Linked DNA regions of Astyanax mexicanus. The protein of the gene in region 1 purifies or fractionates together with the protein of each later gene. This does not show direct contact. Links are inferred from orthologs where the notes say so. Each region holds a gene or a part of one and is shown in the gene's direction. Other genes may lie near its edges. The genes, in order: nop58 and nufip1.

The links.
Region 2: the proteins of nop58 (region 1) and nufip1 purify together in Homo sapiens (co-immunoprecipitation; 3 studies listed by BioGRID and IntAct, with this or other methods). This does not show direct contact. The link is inferred for Astyanax mexicanus from reciprocal best matches to the Homo sapiens genes NOP58 and NUFIP1.

What each region holds. Positions count from the first base shown.
Region 1 is NC_064412.1:37,930,369-37,939,584, reverse strand, and holds the start of nop58 (nucleolar protein 58), read left to right. Parts: upstream 1-5,078; 5' UTR 5,079-5,198; coding exon 5,199-5,243; intron 5,244-5,913; coding exon 5,914-5,990; intron 5,991-6,907; coding exon 6,908-6,960; intron 6,961-7,045; exon of another isoform or gene 7,046-7,135; intron 7,136-7,300; coding exon 7,301-7,425; intron 7,426-7,624; coding exon 7,625-7,761; intron 7,762-7,980; coding exon 7,981-8,045; intron 8,046-8,736; exon of another isoform or gene 8,737-8,822; intron 8,823-8,899; coding exon 8,900-9,034; intron 9,035-9,216. Other genes in the region: sumo1 (small ubiquitin-related modifier 1), read right to left, coding at 861-929, 1,695-1,706. UniProt on the Homo sapiens protein: Required for the biogenesis of box C/D snoRNAs such as U3, U8 and U14 snoRNAs. Part of the small subunit (SSU) processome, first precursor of the small eukaryotic ribosomal subunit.
Region 2 is NC_064412.1:55,616,510-55,625,644, forward strand, and holds the start of nufip1 (nuclear fragile X mental retardation-interacting protein 1), read left to right. Parts: upstream 1-4,826; 5' UTR 4,827-4,972; coding exon 4,973-5,255; intron 5,256-5,951; coding exon 5,952-6,016; intron 6,017-6,150; coding exon 6,151-6,255; intron 6,256-6,490; coding exon 6,491-6,553; intron 6,554-7,001; coding exon 7,002-7,078; intron 7,079-7,198; coding exon 7,199-7,291; intron 7,292-7,778; coding exon 7,779-7,954; intron 7,955-8,049; coding exon 8,050-8,184; intron 8,185-8,830; coding exon 8,831-9,111; intron 9,112-9,135. Other genes in the region: dTDP-D-glucose 4,6-dehydratase, read left to right, coding at 1-48, 166-234, 956-1,046, 1,171-1,313, 1,669-1,767, 1,862-1,921, 2,005-2,048, 2,133-2,298 and 3 more. UniProt on the Homo sapiens protein: Binds RNA.

The sequences.
Region 1 (9,216 bases):
TGTTTTAAAGCGATTTTTAAAATGAGATACGCAGACTGCAAATTTTTACATAGCAATCTCTATGTGCCAAAAGAAATCTCTCAATAAATAGTAATTAGGCTTAAGTTTCTGTCAAGAACCCTATAAAGAACCTCTTAATTTGGTTAATAAATGCATAAATAAAATGATAGATATAACTGGTGTTTTAATTATTTTCAAACATCTACAAATTAAAAATACTAAGGACTTACAGCTCTGGGAAAAAAAGAGACCACTTAAAAATGATGAGTTTCTTTAATTTTACCAAATTAAAAACCTCTGGAATATAATCAAGAGGAAGACGGATGATCACAACCAATCAAACCAAGCTGAACTGCTTGAATTTTTGCACCAGGAGTGGCATAATGTTATCCAAAAACAGTGTGTAAGACTGGTGGAAGAGAACATGCTAAGATGCGTGAAAACTGATTACAAAGCAGGGTTATTCCACCAATAATTGATTTCTGAACTTTATAAATATGAACTTTTCTTTGTATTATTTGATTTTTGAAAGCTCTGCATCTTTTTGGTATTTCAGCCATTTCTCACTTTCTGAAATGTTATCCATAGTTTATAAAATAAAACAATGTTCATTTTATTCAAACATATACCTACAAATACAAAATCAGAGAAACTGCTTCAGAAACTTTAGTTTTTTTTTCCAGAAGCCTATGCAAGAACTAAAAATATCGAGAATATCGAGATTTTTTTACCCACCCTCTAGTTAGAGTGAAGAAAACTACAGTTTATCACGATCTGATATAATAAAATATTAAAGTATTGCCCATGCCTAAAAACAATAAGCCAGCTTCAACAATCAAATCTGAAGTTTCCCCTCTTACCTGACCAATCACTTTCAGTTTAATATATTCTCCGTCCTTCTTCTCTCCATCTCCTGAGGGCTTAGTCTCCTGAATACAGAAAGATATGACATTACACTATGTTACATATGTAAAGGAATACGCTATTAACTGAGGAAACACTGGTACATTACCAGTAAACACTGGTAAAGATGTGAATAAGACTCCCACGCTAGTAAAAAACTAGCTAGGTAGGCTAACTAACTCAGCTAACTAGCTGTTTGCTAACGGATTCCACTGTATTGGTTTGTGTGAAACATTTCAACACCTGATAACGTTAGCTAGCTAAGCTAATTTCAGCAGTGTGCACTGGTTTACATTAATGCTGTAACGCAGCAGGATAATTAAACCACTATTATAACAAAAGAATAACTCAAAACTGACAGTTTACCGGACAGACCGGCAGATAGTCTGTAAACTTAGATAAGCTAGCTGTTAGCTCAGCTAGCGTTAGCTATGCTAGCTAATACTCCTGGGCCCACCAGCCATCTAACGTAGCTCTCAGGCTTTATACTGAAGCTAGCACCTAACGAGCCTCACTAACCCGAGTCTAAACACAACATTTAACTCGCTACAGCTTCAGTAAAGTGAACTCTCCAAAATACAAATCCCAAACAAGGGAAACACAAGGCTCACCACCAGAAATCTGCCCCAGATATCAGTAAAACATGAGCTAATTAGCGAGCTAAAAGGTTGCTGTAGCTTGTTATCGTTAGTAAACGGGCCTCGTATTTTCATATTTAAGCGCTGTTTCTGTCAGCCTGCTGCTGCTCGCTCAGCTCCACACAGTCTGTGAGACATTCCTCCAGAACCCACCGTGTCCGACATGCTGCTCCTCAGCGCCTAACCCTCTCCCACAGTGATTTAGTGAGAAATGTAGGTGAGTGTGGCTGTAATGTAGGTTATGTTTCTCTCTCGTAGACTCTCCCTCTCACACACACACAGCAGCGCTGACCTCACTGGAACAAGGGGCGGGAACGATGACAAAACCCCGGCCAGTGTGAGTAAAGGAGGCGTGTTCAGGTTTTAAAATGCACCTACAATTAAAGAGCATCTTATTTTAAAATTTCATAGTTTACATATACGGAAACGTAATGCTGCAGAGTATAATTAAAATATGAGCAAATAAAATATACAATAATAGTAATAATAATAATAATAATAATAATAATAATAATCTGCCACATGTCATTATTAAAAACCGTTATCACAAACTGTGCCTTATATAAAATTGGCTTTTATTAAAAAAAAAAATTGGTTGAATTTCAAACGTGCTGAATTGTTCATGGTGATCTTGTTCTGTTTCAAAACAATATTTTGATTTTCTGAATACATATTACATATGCAGACATCCCAAGTTGCAATAGTTTCAGGGAGGTTCCCCGCACCTTGACTTCCTGCCTCCCCCCAAAAAAACATAACTTGCACACCAATATATACATTTATACATTTAGTCCCTCGTGTGCAATGCGAAAATCACTATTACATACTGTACAGCGGGCAATACTTCCATTGCCCGGGAGACTTGTGGGCATCAGGGAGCAGTTATTAGCATGCAGTAGACTCCTGCAACTTTTGGAAGACTTGGGAAGTCTGCAAATGTGTGATAAAACAGGCGTTGTTTTAGATAAATAATATCTCATTATTAAGAGATGTATGTCATAATTTGAAGATAATAGATTCATAGTTGTTTTTTGTCCAGACTATCTAAAATCCATTTGAATACAATCTGGATATAGCAAGAAAAGGATTTGGACTGGCAGTCTAAACATTTGAGTCCACCACTGTCTCTAGCACAGTTTAGTGCTCTCACACACTTCCTTTCTCCAGGATTTGTTTGAACTTGCTGAGTCCACACAAATAAAACACTTTATTCAGAACAGGATTTTGTAGTAAGAATTGCTCATAAATATGGCCTAACAATTTGACATTGAGGAAAAAATGGTGCACCATTATAAATATTTGAGAAATATGTTAAGATAACTTTTTTTGTTTGTTTACATTAACTCATCAAATTAAGTTTTGAGATTTCAATTATAGTCCATAAATCAGTTTGTGTGTGCAACACTTCCCAATCCTCTCTTACTGTCAGTGTGTAGTTGTTTTTCTGTTGTTCAGACTACCTTTACTCATCTATTCTGTTATATTTTATACAATGGTTGATTGCCTGTTCTCAGTGTTGATGGCTGTAAGAGCATGTAACCATTTTCTATACAGATGAGTTTTATGTATAAAAACTCCCTGTTCAATGTTTTATATGGTTTCAATATATGGTATTTATATTTATATGGTTTTTCTTAATCTAGTGGAAAGGAAGGGGTGGAGTCCAACACAGTTTGATGATAGTTCTGGTGTAACAGAGCTACTGAATCTAGCAATTAACATATCAGTTGAATCAGGTGTGCTTAATCAGGCAAACCATAAAACCCAGGACCAGGATTGTCCACCCCTGATTTAACTTAATTAACAAAGTTAGAGCCAATAACTGGAAGATGTGAATACAAATCATGTAAATACTTTATCTGTATTTCCTGCTAAAATCCAGGTTGTTATCCAGAGAAACATACCCTATGCTATCCTACCCAGTGTAGGGTATGTTCTTTCATGTTGACCAGCTGGTCTTTCTCTGGATTTTTTATCAGGGTTGTAAACTTGCTAGGTTGCTTGGTTGAAACAACATGTATTGTGTAGTAAATCAACTTGCAGAGAAGAGTCACAGCATCTAGTAATAATAAGTTTATTTTAACTTAAAGCTTTAAATGAGCACTAAACTCCCTGATTTTTGCTGACACCACCCTTACTCAAATTTAAAAAAAGGTAAAATTTGGAAGGGGTCGTTTGGGTGTGTCACTCGGTGATGTATGGGTTTAGAAGTGGGACCGAAGGGAGAGCTGATTGGCTAAGCTGCAGCAGCAGTGTGCCTCTGATAGCGGTTGGACGACAGTAGGGGACACATCATCCTCGCCTATAGAACAGTTGGACATGAGAGGGTGCTGCAGAGGCGGAAATTACCACAATAAAAGTGTTTTTTAAAGTTTAGGAAATGTTAAGAAAAAATTTAAGCAAGACTGGTTTGTTTTATTACTTAAAAAAAAACACATTTCAATGATTAATGGAAAAAATATGGTTTAGGGTTGAGTGGCTCTTTACAGGTGAACTACAGTGTGAAATGGACTTGGGGTGTAGTTAAACATGATAACAAGTACAAACTGTTGTGCAATAGCCCATCTTCATTTACCCCAAGCATTCTGATTTACAGGCCTTTTTGCCAATGCTCCCAACATGCTTCTAATGCTAGTGATAGGGGCATAGCATTGCCCAAGCAAAGAAATCTCACCATTAACAAGTAGCTTCATTGGTATAAGTTTGAGGACCCTGACATTTAAATTGAGACACTGAGAAAGTGCACAGGTTTTATTTAAAAATATTTTTATACACACAGGATAGCGAAAGAGATTGCAAAATAAATTCAGTGCAAATGCATGAATATTATAGAGATATTTTAGCAACAGCTGGACTTCATGCATTTTAACAGAATTAATGTAATATATTTTATTTTATTTTGCACTACTTTGTCTTATTGCAGTGTGATTTTTGATACAAACAAGTTTAATAAATATACATTTTGCAAGAATGATGTTCTTTATTGCATTAATTTTATCCAAAACAAATGCAAATATATAGCAGTAAAACTGTGATTCTTTTTGATATACAAGGTTGTAGCAAAAACGGAGGGGGGGTGGAGAAGCTTATAGCCAGAGTTGAATTCAACAAAAATAAAATCAATAACTTACAGTGTGGCTGAAAAATAAACTGTTGATGGGGACAAACGTTCTCTGATAAATCACAGTATTGATATACACATTATTTGTAACTTAATATGTAAAATGTATTGTATGTAAACTTCACCAGAAGCATGATGGGAAAAAATCTCAGAAATAATCTAGTTGAAGTCTTGCAAATAGTGATCCCCAGACTTAGCAAAATCTTAGCCTGTGTGTAAACAGTCTGTGACTTGTCTTTAGATGTTAGAGAGTGTCAGACTTTAGTCTGTTTAAAGTCTTTTTTGAATCTTTCTTGAATCTTTCTGTCCTGTATTGAGTGTTTGAACAGCATAACAGTGTGAAGAGTCGCCATAGTCAGGGTATCGTCCACCTCTGCTTAAAGACCGCCTATCAGACCTACTGCGCATGCGCGGGAGTTGCCCGCGTGCACCGCGTGGTGAGCAGAAGTTCTTGCGGTTAGCCGTGCTGTGGAGCTGCTCTCAGCCGGGAGCGCGTTAATTCCTCTTATATTAACCAAACAGACAGTTAGATAAAGATGTTGGTGTTGTTTGAGACTGCGGCAGGCTATGCCATCTTTAAGGTAAGTGTACTTTACTTAAATAATGTGCAATAAGCACAGTGAGCTTTCTCCTCGCGAACTGTCGTTTTCAGCCTGTTAGCAGCGTAGCTTTTCTCGCTAGTTGAAGTTCCTCTGTGGATAGATGACTTGGCGGGCCAAGAACTTCAGTTTAGGTTGTTTTTAAAGTGTAAGTCTGGTTAAATTTGCGGCAATAAGTGTGCATACGCATACAGTAGTTCTAACGCATTGTCAATAGCCGGGTTGTTAGCTATAGCAGCGTTAGCTATGCTAAATATCTCAGCGCAGTGGCTTGTAGGGACGGGCCTGCTTTGCACCCACGTTGTGAAATTTCTGCTAAGCTAGCCGAGTTAGCCAGCTGTATTAACGCTATAGTTATCTATTTGTCGAAAGAGAATATGCTGTGTTTTTAACTACGTGTTTTATGCACGTATAAATGCAATTAAAGTAAGCATACTCACGGTAAATTTAAATAACGTTTCTTAAATACGGCTAAAAGACACCATGTGGGTTAGTTAGCCCACTGGGTGGCCACGTGTAGTGAAGTGTGAGGGTCTGCAAGCGTGCAGTCAGTGTGGAATAGGCAGGATTTGAGTATTTTTAAAATTGATGTTTGGTGTGGTAAATCAAGTCGTGTCTGTCTTTTTTTAAATAAATATTCTTTTTCATGCAGGTCCTCGATGAGCAGAAGCTTCAGCAGGTGGACAACCTGTGGAAGGAGTTCGAAACGCCGGAAAAAGCCAACAAAGTGTAAGTTGTTCCTTCCCAAAGTGCTCGATCCAGAATAGTCGTGTAGATTTATGCACTCTTTTAGATGGACCGAGTAATGCATCACTTTTTAGTCACAGAGGAGACCGTGGTTTACAGCAGCAAAGACATAAATGTAAAAAAAAATAGTAATAATAAAAGGTATGAGTAACAATTTCCTCAGCTTTTTAATGGTTCCCGCAATTTCTACCTTTATACTCCGGATGCTTAATGGAAATAAATGTCAAGAAAAACTGCAACAAACTAGAATTAAAATAATTGCAGGAAATGTTAAAACAGGCAAAATGGAAAGAAAAAATTGAATTGACATCCAGGTGCAGGAATATATACATTATCTAGGTCTGTTAAACAAGTATACCTGTGTAAGCCTTATTGCTAATGCTTTAGAAAGTGACAGGTCAAAGTGTTCTTTAGGGTCGCTGCCTATGTTATTGTTCACAATATAAATAAACAAAGTCGTAAAAGCTTTTAAGGGCATTTTATGCATAATTGTGTGCATTTTATATTCGTACAGTTTAGATGTTGGTAGATTTTTTTTTTGCTAAACTACAAATTAATGTTAATTTTATTGTTTCTTTATTTTATTTGTAAGTTACTATTTACAAAATAGAAACAAATATTTTCAGGTTTTGTTTCTACCATATGTTTGAAAGCTATGCTCAGTAAACTAAACATTTATTTTGTTGCAATGTTATATTCTTAAAATGAATAAAATATTGGTCCGTGTGTTTATTTTTTTCATATCGCCAATAATATTATTACAAAAGTGCCCTGAAATATTACCATATCGCCGACCTTTTATAGGGTGGTAATATATGTTAAGTCGACAGGACATATACGTTTATTGATTCATTGGTGGTTGTTTCATTTTGGGTTTCTTGTAAACTTTCTTGTTACAGAGTGAAGTTAAAATATTTTGAGAAGTTTCAAGACACAACTGAAGCTCTGGCAGGTACAGTACAATATCAATGCAATGTCCTAAAATTATATTGCACGTTTAAATGAGAGAAATGAGAGGGAGATGAGCTGTTTATATTAAAACTGTTGTCAATGATGTTTCTGTTGATCTGACTATAGTATGAGGACAAAAATCAGTAATTCGTCACTACCACTGAGACAACAGCCTTTCATACATATCAGTCATGGTTAATTCTACTATAAAGATCTAAACAGTATTCCTGAACTTGTGTATCTAATGATGCAAAATCATGCAAAATTATGTTTAGTAGAATTAGTTCATGTTGTTGCTTGTTTCATTTAACGATTTTCTCTCTTTCCTTCTATGACTTCAGCGGCCACTGCTTTGGTAGAAGGGAAGCTTGGAAAAAGTTTGAAGAAGGTGTTGAAAAAAGTTGTGGCCAAAGATGCTCATGAGCAGCTGGCGATTACAGATGCTAAACTGGGAGGAGTTATCAAAGTAAGGGCTCATTAAATGTTTAGCATCTTTTACAGAAGCTGTAAAAGCTGTTGGTGACTAAAGTGGTCTAAATACAATCACAATTTGACCTTTTAAAAATAATTATCATTGACTATCCTGTTTCACAAAAAGGACAGTGGAGAAAACTTGCTTCTGTGCAGACTGTGCCTGAACATTTGCTCTCTGCCGCCCTCTTTAGGAAAAGCTGAACCTGAGCTGTGTACACAGTCCAGCTGTAGCTGAGCTCATGAGGGGCATCAGGAATCAGATGGAGGGCCTCATCACTGGTCTTCCTCCCAGAGAAATCAGTGCCATGTCTCTTGGTCTGGCTCACAGGTAAAGGAAAAAAAGCACATACACAACCAGATAAAGGCTGAAACATTTTTACAAAATGTCAATGACAAAACTGTCAATGATTATGTGCATAACTGACTTCTCTGAGGATATTCATCACTATTCGTCACTACCAATGAGACAGTGAACTGGCAAATACAGTGCATGTGCTCTAGGTTGTGTTGATTTATAATGTTCCCCCATAATGTTTCATTTTTCTAGCCTTTCCCGATACAAGCTGAAGTTCAGTCCAGACAAAGTGGATACCATGATTGTTCAGGCCATATGTAAGTTTCTCATTCTCTTTACTTTTTTTTTAAGGGATGCACTGAATATTTAGAAATGAAAAATATTAGATTAAAAATGTGTACTTTTGCTGTTTGTCTACAAAAGTGAAGAGAAACAATACAATACAAAATATGATCAGTTTGATACAATAATATTCTGATATGGATGTGAACAGGGGAAAAAAGCCTCTGTCCTGGTGTTTGTAATCATGCTCTAAAAAAGCTTGTCAATATGGTAAAAACTAAAATGTATATCATGATATTTAAAGGCATTTTCATGATGTATACTTTTTTTTTCCGCCGACAAAATGCATCAGCAGTGGCAGTTTTTTTAACCCAAAATCAGCTACACTCTCATTCTGCTCATTCAATTAAAATTGAACTAAACATTTCTCTATAATAAAATGTGCAGTATTCTGTACATTCTGTAAGCACTGATATTCTTGATGTGTATTAATGCATATTGTCAATACTATAAAAAAATAACAATGCACAGCTTTTACCATGCTTAGTATGGAGTTTACCACTTGTATACAAAGCTGTTTAGAGCTGGCTTACTTTCTGTGTAACTTTTACTTGTAATTGAAAGTAGCGCTAAACTGTTTGTTTCTGTGTTTTCTCTAATTTGCTTCTTTTTTTTTTTAAACACTGTCTAGTGTATAGTTTAGTTCATTAGATCTGTTTATACATTTGCAAGCGGTGATGATTCCTGACCTTGTGTCAAGACCCTGACATTTCTGTGAAGGTGTCTAAGTCACTACCTCGTCTGAGCTTGTGAAGATTTGAAAGTGTTGAAACTGTAAATTTATTCTGATCTTTTAATCCTTATTGTCAATCATTTCTTTCATCTCCAGCTTTACTGGATGATCTGGACAAAGAGCTGAATAACTACATCATGCGCTGTCGTGAGTGGTACGGCTGGCACTTCCCCGAACTCGGAAAAATCATCACAGACAATCTGGCCTACTGCAAGACTGTCCGCAAGATTGGTAAATACTATACGTCGACGAGGGCGTTATCACAACATGGTTATAATTGCAATAAATGTTATTGATCATTTTGGGACTTGTAAGACCATTTTCCCCATTGATATAATAATATCGAAATAGTGTAAATGTAATTGCACCCTTTTAAGAGCAATGCCCATTTTATCTATTCAAAGTCTGCAGAT
Region 2 (9,135 bases), about 18 Mb from region 1:
CTCCTGGCTGCAAGATATCCACTGTGGAGGATAATAAATATTGACTCAGTAAGTCTATTTAATTGTTAATTATACTGTCTGTGTGTAATTGAGTGTAAGTAATGTGTATAATTTGTGTGTATATTGTAATAATGTGTATAATATAATGTATATAATCTGTTTTAGTTGCAGTACTGCTCAAGCCTGAAGAACCTCGAATGTCTTAAGAACACAAGTACATACAAATTCATTCAGGTAAGATTTAATGTGAGAACTGTTATATAATATTCCTTCTTCACTCTGAGACAAAATCATAAACAGTAGTTTATATATCAATAATAAAAAAAATATATACCAACCAAAATAAATAAATGTGTCTTTTTTTGTGTTTTTCTTTTTCATCATGGCAATTTTGGGGCCCTCATGATATGCGTGTTTTTCTGTCTTTATTTAAGATACCACAATCAGATAATCAAGTCTCAATACTGCGTAATTCACATTTGTGATTTTGTGATGTATAATTTTCCCCAGACAATATTTGCTCAGTGAATATCAAAAGCAATATTTCTGTAATTAGGGTGTGCAATTTCATTTCAAGCACAATATTTCATGACACAGTAATATTGAGATTGATAATGAAAGTATTTTGTATTTTTATTGTTTACTTTAAAGCTTTAATGATATTTTGTGTTGTTTATATTCATTATTTATCTTGTTACATTATTATTATAATTTTATACAAAATCTGTACAAAGTCTTGGTAACGTACTGTTGTTGACAGAATAGACAAAGGTTTAATTATTATGATTATTATAAAAAAAATATTATGATATTATTTATTGGCCATATTGTCCAACTCCATTTTATACTTATCGTTACTGAGAGGGTTGAGTTTTTAAGTAAGCAGTGATTATAAAATATTATAATATTTCCTTTTTTCCTAATGCTGATTCATTTTGCCTCTCTTTCTTCACAGGGAGACATATGTGACCAATACTTCATTAATCATCTGTTTTCTACTGAGAATATCGACATTGTGTTTCACTGTGCTGCTCAGTCTCATGTTGGTGAGTAATTATTGATTTAGATATGAATCCTTCTGGTTGTTATAGGTAATATATCAGTGATGTTCAGTGAATCAGGCGAATGTTGTTCAGATTACTCTCCTCTCTTTTTTCTTTTCTATCTCAGATAACTCTTTCCTGTATCCGTCTCAGTTCATGCACGTGAACGCTGAAGGTACACATGTAGTGCTCAGAGCAGCGTTTGAAGCTGGAGTGGAAAGGTTTATATACGTGAGCACTGATGAGGTTTATGGAGACAGTCTGGACAAGGTCAGTGTCATTTTAGATGTTTAACCTTTTAGGTGTAGTTATACAAATCCCCTTTTACTCTGCAGTACAATTTATTCCTGTTAAGGCTCTCATAAAGAACACCTGGACACCCTGTTCACTCTCTACAGTTGATAACTCTCTGAGTTATCAACTGTAAATTCTGCAAGCTTTAAAATAGACATAAAAACTAGAGAACCATAAAAAAACAAAAGGTTTGGAGAACATTACATTTTTGATTTGTACTCAGGATAATATTGATTTTAAAATTATTTTTAAAAGTTTAGGAAATTATTTCAATGTTTTTTTTAATAATTTCTGTTACAATTAGAATTTATCAAACATGTAATGTTCACAGGAATTTGATGAGTTGAGTCCAAAAAAGCCAACCAATCCATATTCAGCATCAAAAGCTGTTGCTGAAAACATTGTGTTATCATACTGGGAAAAGCACAAGGTAATAAAATTATGATTTTGAATTATTGGTGATTTATTGTTTCCTTTTATTTTCAATTTGATAATATTCCTCATTTTGTAATTTTGCATTTTAGTTTCCCATTTTAATAACCAGGAGCAGTAATGTGTACGGACCAAGACAGTATCATGAAAAGGTATGCAGGTAGTTCTATCATTCTTCCACACCACCATTTTATTAAGTGGTGATATAAACGTTTTTTCCCTGCTTATTCTTCAGGTTATTCCAAAATTTTTGTTACTTCTACAACAGGACCAAAAGTGGTAAGCATATTTAGCTTTTAACAAACTTTACACCATTTATGTTGCGTTTTTTGTTTGTAATCAAATCCTGTTCTCTCTTTATAGCACTATTCAGGGAACAGGCCTTCAGTCCCGTCACTTTCTTCACGTTGATGATGTCACGGATGCTCTTCTCATCCTGATGGAACAAGGCGTCCTGGGAGAGATTTACAACATCGGTGCCAACTTTGAGATTCCCATCATCCACCTGGCTAGAGAGCTTGTACAGTTGGTAGGTTCCATTGTCAGCTTTTATTTTTGAAACATGTAAAATATATCATATAATGTACTGCAGAAACTTAAACAAAAATGCAATATTGGAGTAACAAGATAGGACCAGAAAATCACTATGCTAAAGAAATGGATACACCATCAAGGATTCCAGGAGTACAAATTTATTTATATTTAAATTTATATTGGTAGCATAAAAATATTTAAAAGTTTGAAACTAAAGTAGACCGTCATGTAAATTCATAGAAAATAGAGAAATATATAGGTTTTAGTCACAGATTAAATGTTATTCATCTCATTTAAAATGTCTATGTCTTTGGAGTGATTTTTATTTATTTATTTATTTAATTTTATTTATTTATTTAATTTTTTTTGAAGGTGAAGAATGCATCTACTGATGATCTGGATAACTGGCTGCTGTTTGTTGAGGACAGGTGTGTAAAAGAAAAGCTCTGGTAACCTACAGGTTTGGGCACTCCTTGACAAAATATATGATTTTTTAATTCATTATTATTGTTGTTTATTTATTCTAATTTATTCTAAAGCTCCATTTCCTGTAAGTAATACAAACTGTGGAGCAGTTGTATTGCACCACAATAAAATACAACAAAGTACTGCAGTTACACATTTTCACCAAACACTTAAGAACTGTTACTTTAAACAATGGTAAACCTTTTTTTAACAAAGGGTTTACATTCAGCAAATAAAGAGTAACTGTATTAAAATATACAGACATAGATTTTTTTAAAGAATAAAGAATTTCATGTAATTTTACCAGGTGTGCTCAAACTGCTGCATAACACTATATGTGGTATTTAAGTTTCTCTCTTTTTATATTATAATAACTTTTGCTTTTATAAGGTTGTTTTTCATATTATAGACCTGTCAGTGACTTAAGATACCCAATGATCTCAGACAAGATGCACAAACTTGGTTGGAAGCCTAAGGTTCCATGGAAGGAGGGAATCAGAAGGACAAGTAAGAAGCCTGAAAATTCTCATTACCTTTTTATTGATTTGATCTGAGAATGGGTAACAGGGCTTGTGCCTTGTTCTATTAGTTAACATAGGGGAGGGGGGGGGGTTCTAATATGTTCTAATGTATAATTTGTGTCTCCTGTCTTCCAGTTAAGTGGTATGAAGAGAATGCAGGCTACTGGCCAGTGGTCACAGAAAAGAAGCATCAAGGAGCTCCACTGACTGTGACCCATCACTCACTTCACAGTGAAACGGCAAAAAACACTTTCTCAAAAAGCTTTTTATCCACCAAGTTGTAGTTAAAATTGATTGAACATTTTGTACGTACTAAAGACTTATTTTACATTCAGACATTGTGTTTTTTTTAACTGGACAACAGCTGTGTTACAAATGACATCCACCATAAAAACAGCATAAATGGACAAAGTTTTACATAACATCAGTCATCTTTATATCAACTTTTGTTTTTTATAATATATATATGAAATGTTCATTTGTGAAACACACTGTAAGAAATCTAATTATCTGGGAACAGTAATGGACTGTTATCTGCTTCATATTTGAAGTGAGAGGAAATATAAGAAGATATAAATTCTGAGATTCAGCCAAATACCTCAATATTGTGTATTGAAACAATGCCATAAATCATGACATTCTATAGTTAGTAAATGGGAAGTCCTTGACTGAGTCTGAGTCATCCATGTCCAAGAGTGTTAAACAAACTGTTGTGAATTTACCAAAGACTAATAAAACCATAAATAAATACAATGTGCTCTCATTGTATGTTATCTCTGCTCACTGTTAGTCTGATGTGTACATGGCTGTTCATTAAATGTCTCTTTTTTAATCAAATCATTTACAATGACCTAAAGCCCAGCAATCCCTAAATTCTTGCATTGTTGCTACAATGTTGTACAATGCATGAAAACTTATTTCTTGTACAAAAAAAAAATAATAATGGGTTTTTCACATACAATTTTCTATTTTTGCTTTTAGCCTTGAACAGTCAGAAAATTAAACTAATAAAGGTTACACTGACAGTAAAACTTTTTATTTTTTTTATTTTAACCATTTTGTGTAGTACAGAAGAAATGGGTTTTCATATTTTTGTATGGGTTTTCATAATTTGTATTTCTGCATCTCACAATTAGAATTTCAGGAAAGTTTAAAAAAAAATGAATCTTATCTTAATTTTCTGATTTTTTCACCTTGTAACAAAAGTTATTGCAAAAATGGGAAAACTAAAAAAAAATAGAAAATTGAGAGATTTTTTTTTTTTTCAATTCTATTAGCAAAAAGCAGAAATGAAAAACTCGGAAAAACAAGTCAGTTTATTTCTCACCAAAGTAAATGGAAAAAAATAATAATGAAGTTTTATACCCAATGTTCTATTTTTGCATTTAGCTTCAAAAGGTTAGAAATTAAATTAATAAATGTTACACTGACCGTATTTTCGTACATGCGCATGCGCACTTTCCCCATATATACAGCATGTGCTCAGTTTTTAGCGCTACAGCGCCCTCTGCTGTTCGGAGCGGCTGTTGTGTATAATTTTACCCGGAAGTGACGCCGGGTTTGAGTAGCACGTGTGTAGGAAAGCGTGAAGAGGCAGAGCCATGTGAGAGTTCTGGTGAGTTTATACAGGAGTTTAGAGAGTTTTGAGAGGTTTATTTATTTGTGTAAAAGGTGACAGTGGTCATGTCGGAGTCTGGGAGTTACCCGCCCCCGGATTTCAGCTCTCCAGCTCAGGGAGCTCTCCTCAGACCACCGACCTTCCACTGGAGCCCCCAACAACAACCAGCAGCACCAGCATCAGGAGCAGCTCCAGACAAGTTCCAGGCTTCCAGAGACTGGAGCTGGAGCCCGACTGCTCCTCCAGCAGCTCCCGCAGCAGCAGATCCCTGGACCCCCTACCCCACTGCTCCCTACAGCGGGTACCAACATCCGTACTATCAGAACTACGGGCAGCATCGATATCCAGGTGAGAGACCATGAAAAACACAACAACACACAGGCCTGATATAATATAGCTATCTACAGTACAGTACAGTACAGTACAGTGGATGGTATGGTGCAGTGGATAACACCACTATCTGCCAGTGAGCTACCATATCATGCTGGAGATTGGGGTTTAATTCCTGTTCTGGGTGACTATACTGTGATACACCCATAAAAGCACTTGAGCTAGACTCCTAACATTACATTAGTCCACCTCTGTAATAAAAGAGCATATGGCATAAGTGGCTTTTTGTGAATACATAGGGTCATCACTAGCAGTGGTACAATATTATATATTATATAATATTGCAGTATATTGCATTGTTTCATTAGTATTGTATCAATACATGGCATCAAATATCTTTTATTAAAACATATAGACTCCCTTGTTGCCCTGTGGTTCACACTCCTAGTCATCAATGAATTTAATTGGCTGTAGAAACTTCAGGAAACAGCATATTTTCAAGTAACTATGTTTTAGATCATTATTACAGTACATTTTAAATAACAAAATATTTTTAATCAAAATCCAAGATGCTTAAAAATGATCATATCCTTTCCCTAACTTTAAACTTTAAACAAGCTTTTTATGTGTGTATGTGTTACCAGCTAATGTTTTATCAGCTCAGTCGGTGTGTGGCCTTTCAGACCTTTAACAGTTCTGTTAAAATCTTTACAGGTCCGCATCATAATAATAATCGATATGGACGGCAAGGCCACGGCCAAAACCAGTGGGGTAAAAAGGTAAGAAATCTTTTTCCTGTACATCTGATCATGTAAAATCATGTTTCTGTGTCATTTCTCTATCTATTTGTGAGCATGCTGTGAATAAATAACAAGTACAAGCTAGTAAACACACTGTGTTTTATTTATTTCAGCAGAAAAAGCAGAAAGAACCAGAGTTCAGTCACTTCTGTGACACTTGTGATCGAGGCTTTAAAAACAAAACCAAGTATGATGAGCACATTGCCCAGCATGTGAAGGTAAGGTAAATAGTTTGAATATTCTTAGTAATTCAAAGTAAATAGTAAAGTAAATTTATTTTGCTATTATCTATAGCACTGGCATTTCCATTGTGGCATTGTGACAGGCCTACATATTCTCTGTAAATTACATTTACATGAACTGCCCATTTTTATTTTTTCCAATTTCAAGAATAGATTGTTTTTTTTAAAGTAGAACCACAAAATGTGATGTATTATTATGTTCTGTTTTCAGTGCTCAGTTGAGGATTGCACATTTACTGCGCATGAGAAGCTCGTCCAAATCCATTGGAGAAATGTAAGTGCTCTTATTCAGTCTTGTTTGTACCTACAGATATAATTACAAATGAAAACTGCAATAAATAAAGAGGGTTCATTATAGCGGCACGGGTGGCACAAAAGGCATTTTCTCACCTGAATATCCAGACTAATGTCTGAGAATAATGACCCACCACCCAAATAGTAAAATTATTATTATTATTATTATTATTATTATTAATAGCTGCTCAGTGTTTTTTTTCTCTGCTGTGGGTTTCTCAGTATTAAAAAACAGGGTGAAAGCAGGAGAATAATAAAGTATAGAGGGAAACAGATACAGAACTACAGTCTGTAATTATAGAACTATGAAGTCTATGCTTGAAAGACTTTGAACAAGGAGAAACTAGGAGATGGTGTTAATGTTTTGGCTGAATTGGCAGAGTTTATGTGATTTAAATACCCTGTCATTGTTGTGTGTTGTATTTCAGAACCATGCTCCTGGAGCAAAGCGAATCAAATTGGACACTGCAGAGGAGATTGCAAAATGGAGAGAGGAAAGGAGAAAGTATGATCATTCCCTCCCTTTTTTCCGAAATTACTCTTACTACTTTTATTTAATTGTGGAGGTAAATGTTGTCAACCTGCAGTAATGATTCACCACACCGTAATATGTCCTACCTTACAGAAACTACCCAACCCTGAGCAACGTGGAGAGGAAAATTAAGGCCATGGAGGTTAAAGCACAAAGGGGAGATGTGCTGGAGACTGCCCAGTTTGGGTAATTACCTGTCAATTAACTATGTGGTATTTACACTCACATGCCAAAAGTCATGGGATAACAGTTCCGTATTTTCCGGACTATAAGGCGCATTTAAAATCCTTTTATTTTCCCAAATATCATCAGTGTAGCTTATAATCTGGTGCACCTTAGTTATAATATTCTACCTGTCAGGTAGAGGCAGCCTGTGAATACCTAAAGCTGTATAAGTTGTGAGGTGTTATCTTGTAAGTGAAGTAGAACACTGGGGTCACGAGGGTCACATGCAAACTGGGAGTGCAATGCTCATTAACTTGTGTGGAACATGGGGAAAGTCTTGGGGTATGGTACTCTTAGTTTCTGTCCTATGACGTCTTGGCATGGCAGTGTACTTTGGGAATGACGCTAGTAAATACCATTAGGCAGATGGAGCCACATGGCAGTTTTCGCGTTAGCTGATAAAAAGTGACCTGCTTATAACTATACATGTTTTTATTTATCGCTTCAGTAATTTTAAAAGTCGTGGTGGACACGTCCAGAATCAGAGCCGAGGTGCATATAGTGGCCAGCAACATGTACAACCAGCAAATGCGCAGCAGCAGCAGCAGCAGCAGCAGCCACCAGCTCCTGTACGTCCTCACCCAGATGGAGATCCTCTTGGAGTTCTGGCCAACAGTGACCCAGGTTAGCTCTCGAGACACTTCTTCCCAAAAGCATCATCCTTAGTCATTCTAAAATGACTTGTTCTTTTGGTGTCCTTTTTTCTTTTCTTTTTTTAGATTCTGAAAAAGAAGAACCTGTGAAGGAGACGAAAGCATCCATTTCTGTGGCGCCCAAAAATATGACTTCTGCTCTGGGATCACTGATGTCCAGCTATGGAGGAGACATGACCGAGAGCGAGGAAGAATCAGATAGTGAGTGAGCGATTAATGCCATTTCTAACATGTTAAAATTTTAGTGAGCACACCATTTGAAGCAAGGGTATTAATGTATAAAATAAAATAAAAAACCCTAACCTGTGTGTGGGAAGTGAGTCTCTCTCAGTGTGTGAACAAAATACCAGCACAATGCTGCTGCAGTGCTCACTGAACAGTGTATGCCCTTAGCTGTAGTCCCATTACTTTAGTCAGCAATACAAATGTTGATAAGCTCAGGTTGCAGTACAGTAGTTTCTGAAAGGCTGGTACTGAGAGAAAAGACATGACTTGAATCTGAGAGAGCAAATAGAGAGATGATGTCACCCTCTCTCTAACTAAATGTCGACTCTGTTTGCCTAACCGGTGTGGTTTCATTTTCTTTGAAGCTTATTCTATTATAGTTTTATATTAGTGGTTAATAGTGAATCAAGGACTGCACAAAAAAACATTATGGCATCAGTTTGCTTAAAATTTGTAGATTATCGTTGTTTCTTTTTTCTATATTGCATGTGTTCCTACAGTAACTTTCCTTTTTTCCTAGTAACTGATCTTTTTCTCCACTAATGTTCATTTTTCCCTATGTTTTTGTATTGGTTTGATAGATTTCTGTGTTGGTTGATGTTATTTTTTTTCTCAATTTTAGATTCCCCTCTCTTGAAAACAGCTCAGGCTTTGGAGGAGAACAAGGCCTTGCTGGCAGGTCTTTCTGTTCCTGCTCAGTACAGTGCACAGAGTCTTAACAAGGAACCACCAATCAGGCAATCTGAGACTGACCACCAAGCACCTTATCCTGTCTCAGACCAGAGAAACAGGTGGTGTGGCAGAGGCAAAAGGGGGCGTGGCCGTGGTCGTGGTAGGGGTGGAAGAGGTGGTAATAACCCCACCAGTGTTCCACAGAACCGTCGCCACACCCTTTTAGAGATGGTAAGGATAATCGACAAGCTAATA